3 linked regions of the Schizosaccharomyces pombe genome follow. The main gene of each other region encodes a partner of the protein of the gene in region 2 in a complex. Each region holds a gene or a part of one and is shown on either strand. Other genes may lie near its edges. The genes, in order: shg1, swd3 and spf1.

Region 1 (6,993 bases), on a different chromosome or scaffold from region 2:
TGTATCGGAACAAAATGAAATAACTAAATGGCTCTGTAGGTGTTGTGTTAACAAATAACACATATTATAAAAAGATTGTATTCTATAGTATCTATTATTTCTAACGGCATAGTAATACGTTGTATTTTAAAAAAAGCCTTGATAAAAATAAACCAATCCAAATGCAATAAAGAGTATTCCTCCAATGAACATGACTTTATGAACCTTTATCTTGGTAGAAATATATTTTCCAGAAATAACTGCCAAAGCTGTACAGCAAGCATGACCAACATTAGCCCCCATGAATACACCGTAAACATTATCACTAGCAGCCATTGCAATAGTAGCGATTTGGGAGCGATCTCCCCATTCACTAACAAAGGTAAGTGCAAACGCCTTTATAAATAAAGGAGAAAACAGGGTAGCCATAACGTTCCGTCCCTTTGATTTTAATTGCGACATTAAAGTATGTCCAGAGCGAGACCTGTGACCAGTGTAGTGGGAAGGTGCTGCCCCTTCCTCCAACAATTGGTCGATGGGGCCATTAGCAGCTATTTCGTTGCGGACGTTCTGAAATTCGTCAGACATGGATTCTTTAGAATCCATAACTTCCTTCGCTTCCATAAGCATTTTAATTCCAAAAATCACAAAAAGGACACCTCCCAGAATGTCCGTTAACTTTCTAGGAAAAAGTAATGGAGCGGCGTGCCCAAGAAGTACTCCTAATAATGTCATGATGAATAGAGCTGAGTATGACCCAGCAAAAACAGTTAATCGAGAGTTTTCAAAGGCCAAAAGAGCAGCTACGATGAAAGTCTTGTCTCCTATTTCACAACCAAAAATCATAGATATAGAGAAGATCAAACTCCTAAGAAAGTCACGGTTTGTTGGGTGCACTTCCTCTGGATGTTTGATAGCTGACACGTCTGCCATACCTTCGCCAACGATTTTTTTCTAAAGTAGTGTTAGATTCAATGCAAAAAAACTTTGATTTCAATTATCTATCAAAACATTACTTCTTCCAAAAGGAAAAGTGAATATCATTGATTTAAGAATGTAGAAAAACGATTATAGCAAAATCGTAAATTACTGAGACAAAGTAAATTCTGCATCACCTGCATATTTGCACGGAATTTATTTCGTCTTTGTACAACAATAAACTAATCACGATTGTATTGCACAAGAACCAATGAGACGTGTTCTAAAGGACAAGGAAAAAACTTACAGCCACGACGGTTGACAGCAAAACCGCTATAATCGCCCATTTTATTGGATTTTTCATGACAATATTAAAAGACTGGGATGCAAATAGTAATTGCAATGTTTGTTGAGCGTAGATGCAAAGTTTGGTGTAGCTGAAATTTTAAAGGTAGTTAACAAATTCTTCGACGTATTGTGCGCACACCAAAAAAAAGCAGTTATAATTAAATGAATTCAGAAAAACAACCACATTTTGAAAATAGGCCTGTGTCTTTGGTTAGTATCGGTAAAACATTTTCATTTATTTTCTGGCCTTCACGTGGCATATGCCAAAAACCTCTAATTTGTTTTAAAACAGGTTTTTAACTCTTATCTTTCGAAAAGTTGTTATAGTTACCACTTGACTGTATATTAATTGATCATTAGTGGGTATAATACAAGCATTAGGACTTGCAAATGCTCATAATTTTATGCCTTTTTTTTACTTTCATGTATTACTTGTTGTAGCAATAGGAACCAATGCCAATCCTTTTAATTGTAAGTGTAATACGCGAAACCAAACAGAAGTTTGATAATTTTTTAGATGGGAAACTCACATTGCACTACCTACATAACGCAAGTTCAACCATAAACACATAAGAAAATTCACTAGCCAAACGGTCAAAGTAAAGCCTTAACAACAGAACATCGCATTTAAGTTAAACCTCGTTAGTACGTGTTTCTTACAGGGTGATTGTACGAAGTCCCTTCTGCGAGATATTACTTCAAGAACTTTTACATTGAGCAATCAAGACACGATCAATTAATTCAAGTTAAATGTGTCTTGTAAAATAACTCGAGTTTTATTAATAAGGTAGTATAAATATGGCCGAATAATCTGTAATCAAATCTTTACATTTCGTGAAAATTCTTTTCTTTACCACATTATTTTACCGTGTAGTCAATTCATAAACAAAAGGCATGGATAGGGATGTAACACTTAATGTTGATGAACTTGTATCTAAATTTAAAAAAGAAGGACATTTTGATCGCCTTCGAAAACAAATTCTAGAAACAGTAAATGAAAAGGTAGGGTCATCGATAGTTTCCTCAAAAATTAAACTATCACTATTTTTTTTAACTATCATAATGATACCAATGTCACTCACTCTTTTGCCATACTAACATCGCCTCAGGAATCAGGGCCTTTATTAGATCGGCTGAAAAAAATCATTGATGAAGAAATGGTGAAAGATCGCACACTCAAAAGTAAAGACCAGTTTAGGGCTGCTCCTTTAATTGCAGGTGCCGTAGATAGGTAAGCTTACGACTTAATAATGGTTTTTTTTCTTTTCTTTTTGGAAACTCAGTCTAACCCATAAGATCTTCATTGTATGAAGATAGCATGGAACACATCCGAAGCAATGTTTTATCTGATCAAGATTTGAGGGAAGTTATTTATAATTCTCTTGAACAAATAGGGATTGAACAAATAGAGCATGAGGATGAAGAAAAATTGCTGAATAGTAAAACCATGGATGGGCGCAAATGAAGATAATTAGCTACTTAAAAGTTTGAAAAAGTTTTGTTATTGATTACTTCTAAATTGCATATACTGAACATACTTATTACAATTAAGAATTGTACTCTCGGGAATTTTACCAGCAATCACATTAGGTTGCATAAGAAGTGAATTAAAAGTTATAACATTTAATGATGCTGAAGGAGATAATAAATGGACTCTCAGAAGAACAACCACAATTCTTTCAGATTCGGATCTCTATTACTGCTGATTATTAGTACATTCATTTGTGATGCCAATGTTTCAAAAAAAATAAAAAAATGTGAGAGTATGTAGAGATCAGGTGTGAAGGACGACAGAAGTTAAGATTATATATCCATTTAGGATAATTATATTAATGCAGTAATGAATAAAAGAGACCAAGTAGCACTTGGTTTTCTCATCAATAAAATATTTAATCATTATGAGTGTTGATAAATAAAGTTAGGGAGGCATGCTTGTTTAATTCAATCATCAGGCAACAGCAAATGTCAAAGAGCCTGTGTTCCCATAATCTTCTGCCATGCTCATAAAGACTAAATATAATATGATCATTATGTTACGATGGTCATTAAAGGAAGAACTTGAGGACGTAAAAGACAATTAGTAACCATACTGAAAATAACAGTTTACTCAGATGCATCGTCTTTTACCGTTGCATTTCGTAGAAGGTCATTTAGACTTTCGTCACCTTCTTCAACAGGAGCCTCCAAATCATGATATTTTCTACATATAAAGCAACTGAAGTATGGGTGACTTTCGTTTAGGGTTGGGCGTATGCATTTATAGTGATAAGAGTGAGAACAAGGTGCAACGAACAATGCTTGACAAGGTAAAACAGGCATAAGACATATACAACATTCCGGAGGACCCGATTCAGAAGATCCGCATAACACCAGTTCTTGCATTCTTTTGAATTCGTTAAGGTTGTAAGGACTAAGCTTAATTTTCCAAGAGTTGTTTAGCTCAACTCGGGCACGAACACAACGATAGTTGACTTCATGACCTCCTCTATAATCCGCCCCAAGTTGTAATATGTCGTTGTTCGAGATGGGATAAGGCTTACTCGTTTTTGACGGCGGTGATAAACGAACATGGTTCAAAAATGTACCAGAACTAGAACCCATATCTTGAATGTACCAAGTATTGTTTTCATAAAATATTTGTGCATGCCTTCTACTCACAACTTTGGAACGGAAGACAATAGCAGAAACATCACCGCCGTTGTATCGCTCTGTGTATCTTCCTATGTAAATGGGTAGATTATTTTGCTTGCGGTTCCAGTAGCGAACTAACGGATCAAAAGAGAAAGAATGTGCATTGGGACCGACAAAGTTAGTTAAACGAATTGATATTTTATCGTCGTCCTTTTCAGAATCAGTCTCAGCGGCAAGTTCCTGTTCTTTGAGGTATCCCTCAACAGATTTTGTCATTTTTTGGAAAGAAAAGCTTTATTAAAACAATTGAATGGAGGATAGAAAGTTACAAAAAACAAATAAATTAATGTTAAAAGCTTTTGAAAATTGTCTTCCGTATACCAATTTGATGTTATCCAAGAAAAAGTTCAAAGAAATATGCCTTCCTTCTAGTAAATTGAAGATAAGGTAAGTTTCAAATCTATTGCTAACAAAATACGAAAGTATATGGGGTTGTTGTGTTTATGTATTAAAGTTTGGAAGCAACAAGAGACAAAAACGAAAACAAAGGCCTCAAAAACAAACAAACTGTTGAAAGCTAAGGAAGGACAGCAAACAGAACTCTTAACTGAATTGCACACTTTAATTCCGAAAAGAAACACTTTTAATAATCAACCAGAATTTAGCTGTAAATGAAAAGCAATCGAAAAAATGATAGTTTTCGCTGTTATCAGAAAAATATGTTATAAATTATGAAGCCAATTTAGTAGAACAAGTAAATTGCACACAGTAAACGGTCAAATGGTGCTGCAAACGAATACAGTTAATGCTATGCCGCCTCGAAAGGCGCATGACTAATTCGGTATCCAACTTACGGTACAACACAATGTTTTCTTCGGTATAGTAATTGTGCATTAAATAAAACAAAACAAATAATAAAAACAAATAAAAAACTAGATGCGTCGCATAAACAATGACGATGATGGTATTTTGTCTATCTTTGTCTCACCATACAGATGGACTTAAGCAACACCGTTTTTATGTTGAATAATTTATTGTTTTAGTATAATTTAGAATTTAGCTGAAAATCCATCAAACAAAAAGTAAGTTGAAATGAGTAGTTCCGAAAATATCTTTAGCATTTCTATTTTTATAGATTTGGACTTGAGTCATTTCATGGTATATATCCCTTTCCGATCACGGTAGACAATTGTGAAATTACTTGCTTTTAATAGACTATATTAGAAAACTAGAACGAAACTAAATGAAATACAAGGATTTATGATAATTCTATGAAAATGAAAAGATAGACAGGTCAAAACTTCAAAGCAAATGAAGCCTTTGTAGTAGCAAATGCCGAGTAATTTTAGGGACTGTGACTTTGAGTTTGCGATTCCAAATCATAATCAGACATGAAAGGTAAAGAATCAGAACGAGTTTGGTCATACTTTTCATTGGAAGAAGTGAAACGATGGAAAATCTTCCAACGGGACGGAGATGTCTTAGAAAACGGAGATGAAAATACCCGTCGACCAGTGCGGGAGACACGAGCGGCAGGCTTCAAAGCATAGCCAAATATAAAATATACAACAATGAAAAACGTCAAAAAACCAAGAAATGTAAAAATGGCCCAGTGATGCAACATATAGAATACAAATCCAGCGTCACTATCGTGCCATGATGAACCTTCATAAATTTCAAAAAATGCATGGTGGCTCTTTTCATACAATTCGGGAACCATCACCCAAATATGATGCCAAGCTTCGGCATCTGGAAGCTTCCGCCAAGCACTCCATATTATCGACAAGAACAATGGACCAGTCGAATACATTACGGTTAGGTAAGGGAAGTGGTAATTAAACGCGAATCTAGGTAGGTTTCTGACCACCTGTAAAAGAAATGGATGCCCTTTAGCAAATCCCATTACATTATTGCTAATCCCACTTGGGGAAGTTCTCCTCACCCATGCTGGATAATGCAATAAGGGATCAAGGGTTCGATTACAACCAACATCCAAATCCAAATATATTCCACCGTATTTGTAAAGAATAAAGTATCGAACGACATCAGCCCGTTCAATATTGTAAGGATAAGAATCATATTGAGTCAAAAACCAAGGATAATCAGTAGCAATAAACTCCCTCATGGATTCATCAGTCCACAATACATATTCATAATCAGGATGTAGATCAATGCAACTTTTCTGGGCACCAACCCATTTTTCCGGAATTTCGTTGGTTTTCCAAGTCTGATGTATAATTTTAGGAATAGCAGCAGACTGGTTTGAATAAATTTCATGATTATAAACGTCATCAACTTTAAGAAGGTCTGTCTTATAATTAATAAAGAACAGCATCATTGGACCTCCAAAAAGATAAACAGTAGCGGAAAGAATTAGTGTCAAAAAGAAAAAAAAGTAAAAAAGTATTTTGTTCATGGTGGCATCAAATATACGCTTCCAGCGAAATAAAATCAGGTCAGTTGTATATTCGTGCTTGGTAGATTCAGCACACAAAAAGAAATTTTGCAATAAAAGTATTTTAGTTGAAGTTAGATAATGCTAGATTTTAACAGATTCTAGTAAGAGGCAAGTTTTTGGTTCTCACTCTTTGCTTGCTTTTTAGGCAGTGTAATTAATTGGACTAAGAGGAAGGAAAAAATATAAGGTGAGATAAAACGTATATACTAATGAATCACTTATATTATTAAAACCCAGTGAACTCGATTCCGCCAAGTAGTACAAGATAATTTTGGTCACTAAAAGAGTTGCCCTGGGACAAAAGCAATAGTAGTATAAAATATTAAAACTGAATTGACGTCGGAGAAAGTCAGTTTTATATTATCAAAATAAAAAACTGGAGAAAAATTAGTAAACATCCAAATTTTGGTCAATTATATCCTTACAAATAAGAAAAAATAAAAAAAATAAATAAAAATTATTGAAAATGCCAGTAATAGCAGACGACAAACTTGGACTAGACAAGAATTGTCAATTGGAGGGGGGGTAAAAACTAAAACTTTTAAGAGATTGATTTGAAGCCAACACTTCTGAGAGAGTAATTAAAAAAAGAAGAAAATTCTGATTTTATAGAGATAAAAACAATGCTACAGTAATACCATCCAGCTGCTGTACAAGTT
Region 2 (4,328 bases):
TTGAGCTTATCATTAATGAATGTCCATCTTTTCAAGGTATTCTCTACCAATCCGTCAGCACGGGGTAGTAGATTCTTGCCTACGACCTTGGGTGCAAACAAATATGGAATTAACATAGGGTGTGGAAGAGGCGTTAATATCACCAAATAAACAAACATTAAGTTTTTATCATAAGGATAGGGCTGTACGGCGGATAGAAGAATTTGTTGAACATGATCAAAGTCGAAGCTAGTCATCAACTCAATTCTGTTTACCACAGTATCCGTGTCTTCATCTAACATAACACTGTAATTCTTAACATCTAAGGGGATCGCTTTAGCACCTACTGACTCTAACCTTCGGAGCTCCTCTTCAACTTTTTCAGCAATCCAACTTTTTGCTTTCTCGTCAACCTGCAAACTGTCCAAATCCTTATGTGCTGGGTTTTCACTCATTGAAAATCAGGTAATACGTTTTTTTCTCAATTATTTTAAGTTTGACTCGGCCAAATGATTTAATTCGAAAAAAGTTTTACCTTATTAGAATATCAGTAGTGGTAAAGGAATAAATATTAGGAAAAAAAAGTAAAAAATTTATCTCCCTTTAAAATCTGTCGAATTAAACTAGATGATGAAAATTAGTAACAAAATGAATATAACTGGTTTAATAAACGAGAAAAATTAGAAAAACCATCAATTTCAGGATATCAACTTGGCCGACATTCGTTCTTCGAGAAATCTTCTGTAAAGAATAATCGAAGACTGTATAAATTAATTTTATCTTCTATGTATCGATCCACTTAAGTTTTCATAGGCCAACTAGCCTTTGGATTGGAAGTAAGGAGCTTGTTTTCGCACGTAAACCTTTAGCATCATTATCTTCATCGTAATTCCAAGTAGTTTCTTTAAACTTTATACATTATTTGTCAACAATTCAGGTTAAGGTGAAAAGCCATCTTTCTCGTGCTTCGACAATAGAAGAGAAGGAGCCCAAACTCGTACATAAGGATCAGTTCCTGATGTGATTATGAAAGGACCTAAACTGGTTACATTTAAAAGTGATGTTTCTGGATCATCGGAATGCCTAATTGAATCGTCAATAATTATTTTTGTACTCGGATCTGTAATTTGGATTGTTCCATCTTCACTAGGAATTAAAAGATAAGCATCGTGCATGAAAGATTCTGCATCATCAGGGTAGGAAGAGTCATTATTGGGTAAAGCTTCAGTATTTTTAGGAATATTTTTAGAAGAATAGCAATCCCAAGACATAGAATATCTTGTATTCACGTGGCTATCAAATATTCGTACCACACGGTTTCGGCGATAATCCCAAAGACGGATCTGTGAGTTAAGATTACTTACAAGCAGATATTTTCGATTTTCTGTAAACTGGAGATTAGACAAAGGAACATTAATGGGTTCAACTAATGTTTTTAAACACTGGCCACTGAGAACATCCCAAATTCGTGCCATTCCATCATAACTAGCAGTCGCACATAAAGTTCCGTCAGCTGATATAGAAACAGATATAATAGGTTCTGAATGTGCAGGTAGCATCCTAAGGCAAGTTCCATCTTGAAGATTCCATATACGGACAGTCTCATCCCATGATCCTGACACCAAAAGCGTGCCCAATGGATTAAAGTCAATTGATGAAACGTAATTTGTATGACCTTTTAAACATCTCACACTGCACCGTTTTTCAAAATCCCAAATCCTTATGGTCTTATCGTCAGAAGCGCTAGCTAGATACTTACTACCAGTTGCCCATTTTACTTGAGATATTCCTCGGTAGTGGCCGAAAAGTGTACATTCAAGTCGAAACGTAAGTGCGCTCCAAATCTTTATAGTTCCATCGGATGAAGAGGTAGCGATCCATCGTTTGTTAGGGGAAACGCTGACACATGTAACACTTTTCTCATGACCGAAAAGAGTACAATATTCAGAGAATCCTGAATGTGATTCATAATTGCGAATGCGCTTATGTATTTGCTCCTCATCTTCCTCTACAACACCTTTCTGGTCTTTTTGTACTTGCAGGTCGTGGTTCAAAGGAAATTGTTGAGCTGTGGAATCCATCTTCTAATATACGATATGTGAAAAATTATCAGACCGATTGTTTGTACTTCTCGTAAAAATGGACTAAAGACAAAAATCGTATCAGGAAGTATTAAAAGGTTTATTGAATGATCTCAACAATCATAAACAAACGCCTTTGTCTGATAGTAAAATCGATCAATTTATTTCCTCTTTCTAGAGTCTATGTACAAGAAAAAAAGTTCATGGGCTTTTTGCATATGTAGATTATAAAATTACAATGATGCCAGTCAATTTTTTAAGCATCCAGCTTTATTGTATGCACAAGCAGTAACTGGTGTGGACAACGAAGTGTATAACATTCAACTAGCAACATACCACAATAATGACTATTTAAAAAACGCTTTTCTTTGGACTTATATTAAATAACTCAATAATTTGACTCGTCTTCAATAAAGTTTACAGGTTCATTTTCCTCGCAATTCACGTCGAAAACTACTCTGCAAAGGATATTCAGGAATATTGTCATTTTTAAGCCATTTAGTTCAAAGACTTAATAAATGGAAGTTTACTACAAATTGTACAATAATTCACGCATTGAAGTTATGAAAAAGCTTAGGGAATGAAGAAGAACGACTAGGCTCCTTTTACTGAAACGTAAAGTTTACAAGGAATTAATACAAAAACTTTTTTCTGATATTGCTCACTAATTTGACGAGGGTTCAATACTCTTGCGCTAAGGGTACGATCTTCGTACTGAGACATATCCTTTGAAGTTTTGTAATCTTCTAGTCTGTGAGTAGGCTAGTCCAATTTCTCTCCGGCCTTGCATTCATGAAGCTCCTGCTTGTTTGAAAGATACTAAAAAGAGGTTTCCTTATAATGAACCAAAATACGTTCTTTGCATAATGTCCTCATTCAATTAATATTGACTTTGATAGCTCCTTCGATATCAAGTTTTCCATTGCTTAAAGTTCTCAATAAGTAGTGTCTGTGATTCATCTCTCAACTGACTTCGAATGAGTCAACTCATAACTTTCAGAGTGATGCAAATAATTTAAGTTAAAAATGTTTCACTCTCGTTTGTCCCAAAGTTTTTTTATCCAGATAGCTGTTGTTCCACAGAAACATCTAAATCACGTGGATAGTAATTGCAAGAAAGAGGCTAACACTTATGAACAACTAGAATTACTTGTTGAGGTCATGAATTGGTAATCAATTTATTTGATCCAATCTCCCAATTACAAATTGGTAAAACAATATTGTGTTTTCATTTTTTGGTGAAACAGTTGGCATCTTAGATCGGTACACATATTAAGCCTTTCATCATAGCCTTTAGTTCCCTTCTTATTCCATATTAAATTAATGATCTTGATTTATTAGTCAACCTTGTTGCCTGGGTCGTAATGGAAATCGCATCTCCTTTTAATCCCTATGTGAAGTAAAATCATTTCAGCAGTTATTATTTTGAATTTTAATCGGCTTAAAAAACTTCTCTAACGCTTGTTAAATGGGCAATTCAGGCATTCATTACAGCTTCAACAAATGTTTATACTGGTATTATAGCGTATTTATTAACTATATAATGAAACGAAATATTTACTTGTTATCGCATTTAAGTGAATAGTTATCTCCATCGTTCTGCTGCCTTAATTTAATTCACCACCAAAACCTCAGTATGATACTTCACTGTCAACAAGAACCAGCAAGTTTAGTTGGGCAGAAATCTAATTAAATTATACAATATGAGTGATTGTAAGACCATGCTTTATTTCTTATTGATTTCTAACACTATACAGTACGATTTCTGGACCTTGTAAAGCCTTTCGCGCCATTCTTACCGGAGATTGCTGCACCCGAACGAAAGGTATGTAGCATATGTATCTCATAAGAGACATCGAAAGCTAATATCGAATCTAGGTCCCTTTCAAGCAAAAAATGTTATGGACTGGAGTCACCTTGTTGATTTTTTTGGTTATGTCTCAAGTACCATTATATGGAATTGTCTCTTCAGACTCTTCGGATCCTTTGCTGTAAGACTATTATTTTTGTTTAAATTTTAATTTTCTAAAGCTAATGACTTTTTCAGCTGGCTACGTATGATTTTAGCTGCCAATCGAGGGTATGTTTTTAAGAAATATGGATGAGTGAAGGTATTGTAACCATCACTGACAAGAGATTACTCTTTAACTTCCTTATTTTTCATTTTTTAAAAAATGTGTTTATGCATTTACTAACCATTATAAGAACACTCATGGAATTAGGTATATCTCCTATTGTCACTTCCAGTATGCTGGTTCAGCTTCTTGT
Region 3 (10,979 bases), on a different chromosome or scaffold from region 2:
TGGGCTTATTTTTCCAATAGAAAAAGCAAGACAAAACGACCGGGTTTTCCTCTGTTTGAAAAAAATTTCTTCTCGATCAAACTATACGGAGAAAACGAAAGAAGCCGAGTACGAGATGATTAAGACAGCTGCAGAGTTAGATGATAAAAAGATTGCAACAAATCGCACACAGTAATAACAGGGCTTGAAGGTAGAAGAAATTGGTTATAGCAACCCGAAAAAAAAAGCGGAATAACGATCACACGGCACACAATAGAACGAAATTATAGGGGAGCAAAGCAGAGTAGGGCAAAGCAAATCACGTAAATACGTCGACAAATATTATTATAAAGTGTAAAAAAGATTTAACAATATTGAGAAGACAGATGTGCAGGCATATAAACGAGAAAGGCGAAAGAAAAAAGAATTAGTTCGTAAAATCAATCAATAGAAAGACTTTTTTTCGAACAAGTATTATATTGCTCACAAAATCAAACGTTCAAACAAGAACAAGGGAAATTAACAGAAAACGAAAACAAACAGATAATAAATTAATTAAAAAATAGTAAGTGTGAAGGGGTAGAGTAGGTTTTTGTACACAGACGTTCCCAAACCACCGTTCTCCAATAAAAATCCAAGGATAAAAAAATTGCAAATGAAGCCGGAACGGATTCTACAAACAGATGAAGAAGAGAAAACAACTTCAACAGTGTAAACGATAGGAAATAAACCTTATGGAAGAACTTGGTACGCCAAAGCAAACTATATGAAGCCTCAGTCCGCTTCTTTTACACTCAGGTATAATCCGTAAACAAGTCGCAAAACGCTCCGAAAAAAAACTTCAGAGGAAGCAAACTTCAACAGAATTAAAGAACCACCCAAATCACCTGAAAGCTTTCAGTTTCCACGTCTAAACGACAAATTTTCGAAATTTAAAACGACAAGTCCCTTGTTGTGTGTTTGGGGGACGGATGAAGCGTAAGCACATGCTACGTTATGTTTTCTTCATGATCCCATACTCAAACTCGGCAATGACTGTCCTGTGATGTCATAAATAACGATTTTGTTCGTAGTATATAATACCCTACCGTAATGTACCGCTCTCATCTCCCGGAGTGCGTTATTTCCTGACCTCGTGCCCCAGACAACCATCGCTCGGAAGCGTCAGGGGTCTTGAACGAGTCCACGTAACCGAGCCGGGGCATCCTCCATGTGGGTAACGTGTCACCTGCTCAAGAGAGAGAAAGACGAGATGAAGAAAAAATGGAGAGAATGGGCAAAGGAGGTATGCCAATTTGGAAAGCGAATTTTGTGCATTTCAATTACTGATGCGGCACTCGTAAACCTAGAGGTCCTTGAGCCAAAAAATTTTGAGCCTGGGACGCTAGACGGAGCGGGTTTGTTCGGGTGTTGGTCAGCTAACGGGTTGGGAATTGCATTGGCATATGAAATTACCAATAGTAGATTTGAGATCAACTCGGGATATACAGTTAAAGTGAAGTGTTTAAAGAGATTTCAAGGTGAGGCGAGAGGCTAGAATGCTCATGCAGAGCATGCACCCACGATCGTACCATAGAAGGGTGACAGATGGAGGATAAACCAAGGAAAAAAAAAGTTTAATAGAAGAAACAACGTTTAATGTTTTTAAATTGCATGAGACAAAGCAATGTTCTCAAATCAACAAGGCATCTTCTAAGCCAGGCTGCAAATGTGTAATGGACCAATGGAAAAATTCTTACTCACATGAGTAAACGTATAAAACTAACCCTCCGTGTGAATGGTAAACCATGTTACACAGATAAAGCAGCCAAGATAACAGAGAAGGAATTGTACTGTGTGTGTGAGAAAATATTCACATGATAGGTGGTGCTTAGGAACCAAGCAACTGGCGGATGCACAGAAGAAAATGGTAGAGAAAAATGTCAGAAAAACAAAGACAAATGAAAAAAAGAAAATAATAATAAACACTTGAATGAATTTACGGATGTACGTTCCAGTGAATGAATGAGTTTACGGAAAAGAATTGGGTTGGTTTCGCCTCCCTTTTCCCTCCCTCTTTTTCTCCACAGTGAAAAGATAAGATTTTAAAAAAATTTAACATTCAGTTTAAGGAAGCAAACACTTTTGATAGATGGTTTGAAGGCCGCACATAGTTTGAAGACAAAGAGACGAAGTTCAGTTGAGTTTGAGATTTCATAAAATGGATTGTTTCAAAAAATAAAAACAAATTTTTTTTTCTGTTCTGTGTCCTAATAGACATTAGCAATACTATAAACAAAGCCACCACATATTATAACATGGATGAAGAATTCACAAATCAGCATGGAAAAAAATTCACGGATCAGTTGCATAAATAAAGCTTGCATAACTCATCGACAAAACATTGGATAAATAGACTAAGATAGATACACAAGATAATAATACATAAATAAATTACAGTGAACCAAATTTTAGAGAGGGGGTAAAACGTCAAAAGGTTTTGTTACACCAATTGACAAATGAAAATGAAACGAGATCCATGGATCACTAATAGAGGAACATTTTGTTTCTCCATTAATCCTCCTTTAATGATGCATCGTCATCCACAATATCCCAATGACTACCATCTAATCGAGGAAAAAAGCGGCCGACTTTATCTTGATACACTCGATATAACGGATATTTTTCACAGGACATCTTTTCGGTAAGTCTGGTCGAGCCTTGAAAAACGCCCACTAGTCCAAGCCATGCAAAAATCGTCCAATTCAATAGTGATTCTGAAGCGATCGCTCCAAATAGATAAAATGAAAGCCAAATAAGTTGTTCTGCTAAAAAGTTGGGATGGCGACTCCATCGGAAGAGCCCTGTAGCATTGAAACCACGTCCAAGCGACAACAAGTCATACTTAAACCGAGGTGGCACGGTTTTGTCGACATTGTAATGATTTCGCGCTTCATAGTAATCCCATTGCTGTTGGTCGGCTAGCATTTCTAGCACAAACATAAACATGAAAAGCTCGAGTGCTATCCAATCCCATGCTCCAAATGCTCGTTCGTTTCCAGCCAACATGGCAATATACGTGGGAGATGCAAGCAAATATAGGTGGAGCACTTGAAAGATATGAATGTAAAAATAGTGGAATAATGGATATATCCATTTAGGCATGATTTGGCGAACTCTCACCCAACGATAGTCCTCTGCTCCTCGATTATAACCTCCTTTACGGTAATAATTGTAAGTAAGACGCGCGGACCATAGAGTCTGCAAAAATGCCATAATCATTAATCTTCGCGAAGCAATGTTGTATCCCAAACCATAAAACAGAAAATGCAAGGAAAAAGCCGTTGGCAGAATTGGCCATAGCCGATCCACTTGCGATGTATTTTTCGTCCAAACAGACACTCCCCAAAGCACATTTCCCAAAATAAATGAGAGAAGTAGTCCTACAACAAATGGATTCGTATTATAATAAAAATCTGCAAAATTCAACTTTCCAGTAAACAGTAACTTCAAATTGCTCAGTTGATACAGGTAAGGAGATACTGCAACTTTCCATTTTGCGGCATCAGATGCCGAATAAATAATTGGCATGGTGGATGCCAAAGTCATAGTGCTCGTTTGAAAAAGAACAATGGGAATGTCAGAAAGTTGGCTTTCTATAGCTCCACGAAATCCTCTGTCTCATTGTGACGTTAGCTTCTGGAATAAGAAGGATTAGTGAAATCCAAGGAGCCTGCGTTTTCCAAAAAATAAAATAAAATAAATTTCAAAACAAAAGAGAGAGAAAACCTCAAGGCCATTAAGACATGAGTTGATAAAAAGAGAGGGTGTAGAATGTATGTCCTTATGTTAAAAAGTGACTTTTTAGAAGGAAAAACCAAATTACCATCTGTCAACATTATTTTGCGAAACAGGGAGTCAATAAATTTAAAGCCAAAATTAAGAGACAAATGCCAAGCAATATAAACTTTTCTTTCATTAACATTTGCGAATCAATGCCTCGTGATTTACATGAAATGATCTAGAAATTAAAGCAAACTTCAAAATTGTAAATTAAACCAAAAGATGCATCCTTCTGTTTATTTTAATAAATTAGCCATTTTTTCGGGAGATAACTGTTCATGACAAAATCGAGCATAACCGTCGTATTGTATCCCGGGTAGGCACCTCTGTTTTTGATGCTCCAACATTACATCTTTGGCAGTTTGCTTCATGTTTAGTTTTTGTAAAATATTACTTTCTTGCAACTCAAAATCTTCGGTAAAAATTACCTGCCAGCTTGTGTGCTTTGCACATCTTCGCTTCTCTGTAAAGCAGGTGGACTCAGGAGAAGGATCTATACTCATGTCAAGAGATAGCGGTGCTCCATTTGAAACTTTTTCCCACAATTCATTCATTTGTTGTTGATTGAATAAAAGTCGAGAATCGAATCCACACAGATCTTTCTTAATACCTTCTCTTTCTTTGTAAGCAAGAACCGCTCTCCGCGAAGAATCTTTGATCAACTGAAGAAATATTTTTTTGTTAGATGCTACTTCTTTCTCTTTATTTAATTGCACAATTTCTGCGTTCAGCCTATTGGCCTCCTCAATTTCAAAATTGTACACAACTTCAGGAGGAACTTGGCTTGGCAATGTCGGTCCCACCGTACCCAAATTTTGAAATTCTTCCCTTTTTTTTGCAAACAATACAAGATTTTTTATAGCAGAAGGTTCAACCGTACTCAGCTTTACTTTTTCTCGAAAAAAATCGACTCCATGTTTATCACTACAATAGTTGGAATTAGGTCTTGTGGGATTCGAGCATTCTCGTAACCGGCATTTTCTTTTCCAAGTAGTTATACCCTTTCCTTCTTCTGTGCATTTAGGACAAAAGTACTGTACAGTTAAATCATTATAAGATTCAGGTATATTAACGCAAGTGCCATGAAACCAATCTTCGCAACCATCACATCCTAACATCCATGATCCATCATCAGGCTTTTGGCATATACAATACAATGGTCTTTGATGATCGGCTGTAGACAGATTGAGTTGGCTATTCGCATTTCCTCGGTGTTTTCGTGGACCCCTTCTATGAGCTGATACGGGTGGTTTTTTGGGTATTGTAGGCTGTTGAATGACTTGCATTTCTATGTCTGTTTCCGTTGAGGAAGAATCAACGTGACCGTTGACTTCTTCAACCTCCATTTTAACAGATTTATTGAGAATTACGTTGGCGTCTTTCTCTTCCTCATTGTTAGCTGTCTCGATATGAAAATCAGTAATGGTGCCTCTATTCGAATCCTCAAATTTTACAATTGATTCTACATGAGTTTTTTCATTTTCCTCAGTATTCTCTTGCGTTAATTCCATTATTGGAATTTCAGTTGTCTAAGTCTGTCAATAAGTAAAATCTAAAGAAAGCGAGCTTAAGCACAGTACACTAAATGCATTAAAAGGAACTACAAGCCAAACCAAAATACAAAAGAAATGGGGTCTGTCAAAACAAGTTGAAATTTAAACAAGTCGTATATTAATATCAAGCTTAATTAAAGGAGACAATTATTTCAACCTTGACGGACGAACTAACCATGCCTATATAACTCACAGAGGTTACTGCGGTATCTTCAAGAAGATTAAACAAAAAAAAAAAAAAAGGAAAGAACGCAAATACACCAAATAATAAATATTTTTAGCCCAGATAATCTCATCCAAGACAATCACTAATGTAGCAGAATTGGATAGAAAACAAGACAAAACTGCAAAAGAAGATTCCATTAAATTTCGTGAAATTAAATCAAATACTCATAAACACCCAAATATTAACCCAATTTGCGAAGGCCAGCTCGTGTTCTGTGTAGCTTTTTTTGGTTTGCATATGCTTCATTAGAAAGCTCGTCTAACATGGAGTTTTGCTCGACAACTTCTTGATTAATCATTTTCGAAAGCTCCTTCTGCCTTTGAATAATAGGCAATAACGATTCTGCTTGCATATCTTGATCTTCCATAGTTTGATTCTGCATGTTGTACAGTCCTACATTATCAAGCTTTTTTGTTGTCTGTGTCTCTGGCATTCTGTTTTTTCCAAGGACTCTGTTCAAAGAGGTATTAGATTGTTTGTCAGTAGATGCAGATAATGGGCGAAAGGGAGAACTAGGATTAGAAGAGTTTAATTGAGATGAGGCAGAAGGAGGAGCGACTGGGCTGTTTGCATTTTTAACTAACCGTTTAAATGACAAGAATTCAGAACCAAGCTGTTCTAACATATCTTTTCGTCGAAGGATTTCTCCTGGACCAAGAGCATTTGCTAATTCTAATTTGTCTAACGATTCTGAAAGGTTATCCATTAGCGACTTTATTGCATAGACATTCTTTGTTTGAACTCCTATCGTAATGCTTTTTCCACTCATTAAGTCAACTCGGTACATATGTAAATTACGTTTACAATCTTGAAATACTTGAATCCAATCTGTCGGACCCAAAAACTGACCCTGTGTTTCATCTTCCGATTCATCTTTAATATTTAGAAATTTTTTAACCACAGGCATTTTTATCCATGGCGTTTCTGAAAGGCATTGAACGTAAGCTTGTAAAGCAAGTCGTCGAGATTCACGTAACTTTTCATTTGTCACAGTTGAAGAAACCCAAGATTTAGAGGGGAGTTTGCAAAGTCTACTGTTGTAGTCATTTGGCCGAATTTGAGCATCCAAAGCAACGAATTCATTGAACCGACGAAATACAACATGTTTCCCACCATTCGGAAATGCTACTTCAATATGGTAAACCGTCCATCGTGAATATTCATCAGAAGACTAGTTGTAAGTAAAAATTAAAGGAATAAAGCTTACTTGAGACGTTTCTGGTATTTTAATTTTTAGCGCCATACTTGCTATGAACAGGTTGATCAACAATGAGTTCATGAACAACAGACTACTGTATCGGATTTACTGCACTATCGTTATAAAACTGTATAATGTAGAATTTGAGCTTTCAAATAGTATAGGTTCTATTAGTTGAATAAAGATAAATTTCAGTTTCATGATGCTTTAGATCCTTTAAACCTCATGTTTTCCTTGATGCGCGAGATGCCTTTACGATTATCGAATTGGCAGGTATTGAAAGAAAGTTTACCAGTTTGCAATAGATTTAGAAATTAAAATAATGAATTAGGTTAGTATATTATCTTATACCTTTAAACACTTTATAGTCAGATTATTGAGTATTTTTTTTGGCACTCGTGAACGGTGCAACTTACAAGTAATTACAATACCTAAACAGAAGAACGGCAAAATCTTAACGAAGCTTAGTAATAAACAGAAATTGTTTATTTTCTATATTTTCCTACATGGATTGGTTGCAAGCGCGACTTGCCTAAAGTATTAAAAGCACAGAATAAACGCCAGATCGTAACATTATGCAAAAGTGTAAGTATAGGTAGATTCCAAATAACAACAGTACTCTGATATGCATAAAGATTTTTCACTTAAAATACATGTCATGTAAATATAAAGGCCCCACAGATGATATATAATAGTACTAGTGGAACTTAACAACTGTTTTTTCATATCACGAGAGGGAAAAATATACAGCGAAAAGACTTCTCACATTTGCTTAAAGTATAACCATATACTGCTTTTGAACGATCATCCAATTCAAACTATGCGACCCTAATAGATGAGAATAAAGGACGAAACATCCCACAATGGATATCTTTTAAAAGAGTTCGGAATCAATTTGAAACCACAGTCATTAAATTACATATATTCATAGTCAGTTCCACACATGATGTTCAACTCAGAAAGAAGAAATCTGCCTCCTTCATCAGAAATAAATTCCACCGTGAAAACGAAAAATGAAAAAGAGAAGAAAAAGGGCATTAACCTGATGAAAAAAGTTTGACGTTACCTCACTGAAATTATTGAACACGAGTAAAGACATATAGACAAATTTGGAAAATCCCATAACAGATACAATGAATTAAGATAAGCCCATGAGAACTTCCACCAGGAAGTAAACAACCAACTAACTACATTACAAGAAAAAAAATGATGTAAAAGAAACAGAACTCGAACTTTACAGAGACAATGCCCAGCAGATAAAAGTGATAATCCAAATTTGTGACAAGTAAGCACCCACCACTTGGAACATGGCGGACCAATTCATTGAAAACAAAATTGAATAAGGAATAAAGCAATTCCACAGAGTAAGGAAAATCATCAAAAATAATGATTGGGGAATAGGCCTTTCACTAAACACGACTCTTTGAATAACGTAACCAATTGGTACATGGGCAAGATATTGTAACGGGAGCGGAGGGGCAACGAGACTAGTAACAACGTTATGGGAGTTTCCAAGAATAAGACCGTTTAAGAATATCTTTTGTGATATATAATTAAGCACGCTGATCAATACACTCGCCATAATTGTGAATAGGAAAGAGACACTATACTGTGTGTTGACTTGGTTTGAACATTTGATGGGGTTAGCTCTAGAGAAACAGCGCGCCACTAGCAAAGAAATGGCGTCAATTATGAATGCCCAAGCAATTTGACTCAAAGGAGTAAGGTAGTAGGTCGAGAGAAGCACGTATACTGGATATTTCGTAAGTAAAAGCCATCCATAACCTAGGTTGAATTTCTGCAACAGAAGAGATTGACCAACGTGCATAATAATTGATAAATAACTCTTTCAATCCATTGTTAGTAAATCTAAACTTATATAATGATCTGCATACCATCCAGTAAGGAATATCACTTTCCACCACCCCCGTGGAAGCTAATAATCGTGGATTGAGGTGATAATTTAGCAAGCCATAAGTTAACGTGTGTAAAAATAGGTAAATGGACACCTTTATGGTGTTTGAAGACGAACAGCACTTCGATCCTGACATTTTGCGAATATTGGTAGTTTTCATATAGTTTGTCATCGATGAACACACAAGTAACGATTGATCAGGTAACAGTATCTTCAAACAATGGAGTCTGTGAAATGGTAAATAATGAATCAGCAGGAAACCAGGATCCTTTGAATTTAGGTAGTAAGTCTATGGAAAACCAAAATTATATTTTTCTTGAAATTCCGTGTTATTAAATCTCTAGGATTAGTTTGCAAGAAAGTGTTCTCCGTGCAAACATTAGAACCGTGGGATTTTAAGCATAAAATGGGTACAAAATGAAATATAAAAACAAAGAATGACCGATGCCTTTATTACCATGAATAATTATGTGTTTTGAATTATCCCTAAAAAAAAAAAACATTACCTTTATTTTCACTTTATTAAAATAATTTTAACTTATTCATGGAGTTGGTTCATTAACTTAAATGATCGTAAATAATAATCCAAAAAACCTTATACTGCTAATTTACTAGTACCTTTTTTTTTATTTTATTCTTTTTTAAAAAAGAAAAAAGGGGAAATTAGCGACATATATTATGGACTTAAATTTTTCTAAGTACATTACTTTACGTATATGCAACGATTAAAATCAAACTGAAGTAAAAAGGTGATTTTTTATAATTCCTAAAGTCAAACAAAATAATTATTTAATAACATAAAAACCATGAGGTGATTGACTTGAGCGGTAATTTAATATATCAAATAATTTATGTTATTTCAAATCTCTCTTCCCTTAATAATCTGATAATCTATAGTCACTGAGAACACATATATAATAAAAAATGTGCTATTTCAAAATATTTATTCCATTATAGGTAGCTTCATTTTTCATGAGAGAATCGCCAGTGTATATTGAAAATTCATAAAAATAAAAAGCTAAATATTTCGGACAATTGAGACAAAAAAACCTATAAATATATATGTACATATTAAAATAATTTTTTGAAATTTATTAGAATAATCAAGCTCAAGCTTTTGCATTGAAAAGAATTTATACATAAAACATGAATGTCTAAGTATAAAAATTTGAATTAACTAGTTGCTTATATTTCTACCTTTGACATAATGTTATTAAAGAAAGGAAATAAATACATCTGAACGAAATAAATTATAAGTTTATAGGTAAAATGGTTATACAAAGGTGGAAGTACTGTTGGCGTAACTTATTTTTCTGAAGCATTAATGCAAACACCAAACCCGTGCCAACATTAATACTCCATATCTGAAAGAGATAAGTTATTCTATATAGTAAAAAGCTAAATGATTATCAACAAAGTCGATACAATTGCTATATCGGATTTTATATTCACTGATACTCAAAGAATATCAAAATACAATTACTGCATTCTTTACAAATTCTGGATTTCTTTTTGGTTTAAAAAGAATTCATTGAGGCGATTTGAGGATTAGCAGCATATATGTCAAACATTTAAAAGTGTAAACAAAGTATAGAAGAGCTAGCAAATAGCGGAAAAAGGAACGCCCAAAAACTTTATTAATATTAAATATAGAAATTTCTTATGAAATGGCAAGTTTAATTCAAATATGCCAAAAATCTCCTTGTTTTAACAATCGAGAAAACACAGGAATTCACAAAATAGCCATGTACTTGAAAGTCCTTCATCGCGAATGTATTATTGCATTTAACATATATTGTTCCAATTGTACTGCCAGACAAACCAGAATAATATTTTTAACAACATAGCGTGTTCAAAAACTCAACTTGACTTTTCATCAATTAATCATTTTTTGTCGAAATCGTTACAAGTATTTGAGAGAGCGTAATGATTACATTACTTAAATCCAGCTGATGATGTACAAAAGATAATAATTGCGGTTTTTGAAAATGAAAGCGAAGTTTAGAAAAGGGCTTGCTATGTGCATACTGAATGTTTAAGCAACATAAAGACGATTCTATTCGAAAACCGTGCAGAAATACAAGACTTGCTGTTTCGTTTGCTAGATCAATCGATAGTCAAGATTATTTTATACATTAATAAATAGTAAGGTAACTGATCAATCAATAAATTTAACCAACAAATTGTTTCTCGCCATGTAATAGTTTTAGAATTTTTTAGATATTTACCAAATAGTGATACAGAGCGCGAATCATGATAGTGAGTTCTTGAGAGGACTACCATATC

The links.
Region 1: swd3 (region 2) and shg1 share a complex: the UniProt entries of both Schizosaccharomyces pombe proteins name them as parts of the set1 complex.
Region 3: swd3 (region 2) and spf1 share a complex: the UniProt entries of both Schizosaccharomyces pombe proteins name them as parts of the set1 complex.

What each region holds. Positions count from the first base shown.
Region 1 is NC_003424.3:2,355,222-2,362,214, forward strand, and holds shg1 (Set1C complex subunit Shg1), read left to right. Parts: upstream 1-2,097; 5' UTR 2,098-2,139; coding exon 2,140-2,247; exon of another isoform or gene 2,248-2,354; coding exon 2,355-2,476; exon of another isoform or gene 2,477-2,541; coding exon 2,542-2,710; 3' UTR 2,711-3,167; downstream 3,168-6,993. Other genes in the region: gdt2 (GDT1-like protein), read right to left, coding at 127-933, 1,205-1,261; mitotic spindle checkpoint ubiquitin ligase Dma1, read right to left, coding at 3,349-4,152; mannosyltransferase Imt3, read right to left, coding at 5,222-6,292. UniProt on the Schizosaccharomyces pombe protein: The Set1 complex specifically methylates 'Lys-4' of histone H3.
Region 2 is NC_003423.3:546,402-550,729, reverse strand, and holds swd3 (Set1C complex WD repeat protein Swd3), read right to left. Parts: upstream 2,367-4,328; 5' UTR 2,061-2,366; coding exon 918-2,060; 3' UTR 501-917; downstream 1-500. Other genes in the region: SPOM_SPBC354.04 (uncharacterized protein), read right to left, coding at 1-434; translocon alpha subunit Sec61, read left to right, coding at 3,764-3,773, 3,818-3,885, 3,939-4,051, 4,108-4,140, 4,266-4,328. UniProt on the Schizosaccharomyces pombe protein: The Set1 complex specifically methylates 'Lys-4' of histone H3.
Region 3 is NC_003421.2:360,167-371,145, forward strand, and holds spf1 (Set1C PHD finger subunit Spf1), read right to left. Parts: upstream 5,317-10,979; 5' UTR 5,313-5,316; coding exon 4,038-5,312; 3' UTR 3,594-4,037; downstream 1-3,593. Other genes in the region: SPOM_SPCC594.03 (uncharacterized protein), read left to right, coding at 1,190-1,516; SPOM_SPCC594.04C (steroid oxidoreductase superfamily protein), read right to left, coding at 2,533-3,567; vsl1 (SNARE protein Vam7), read right to left, coding at 5,762-6,751, 6,788-6,823; bouquet formation protein Bqt3, read right to left, coding at 8,013-8,624, 8,674-8,829. UniProt on the Schizosaccharomyces pombe protein: The Set1 complex specifically methylates 'Lys-4' of histone H3.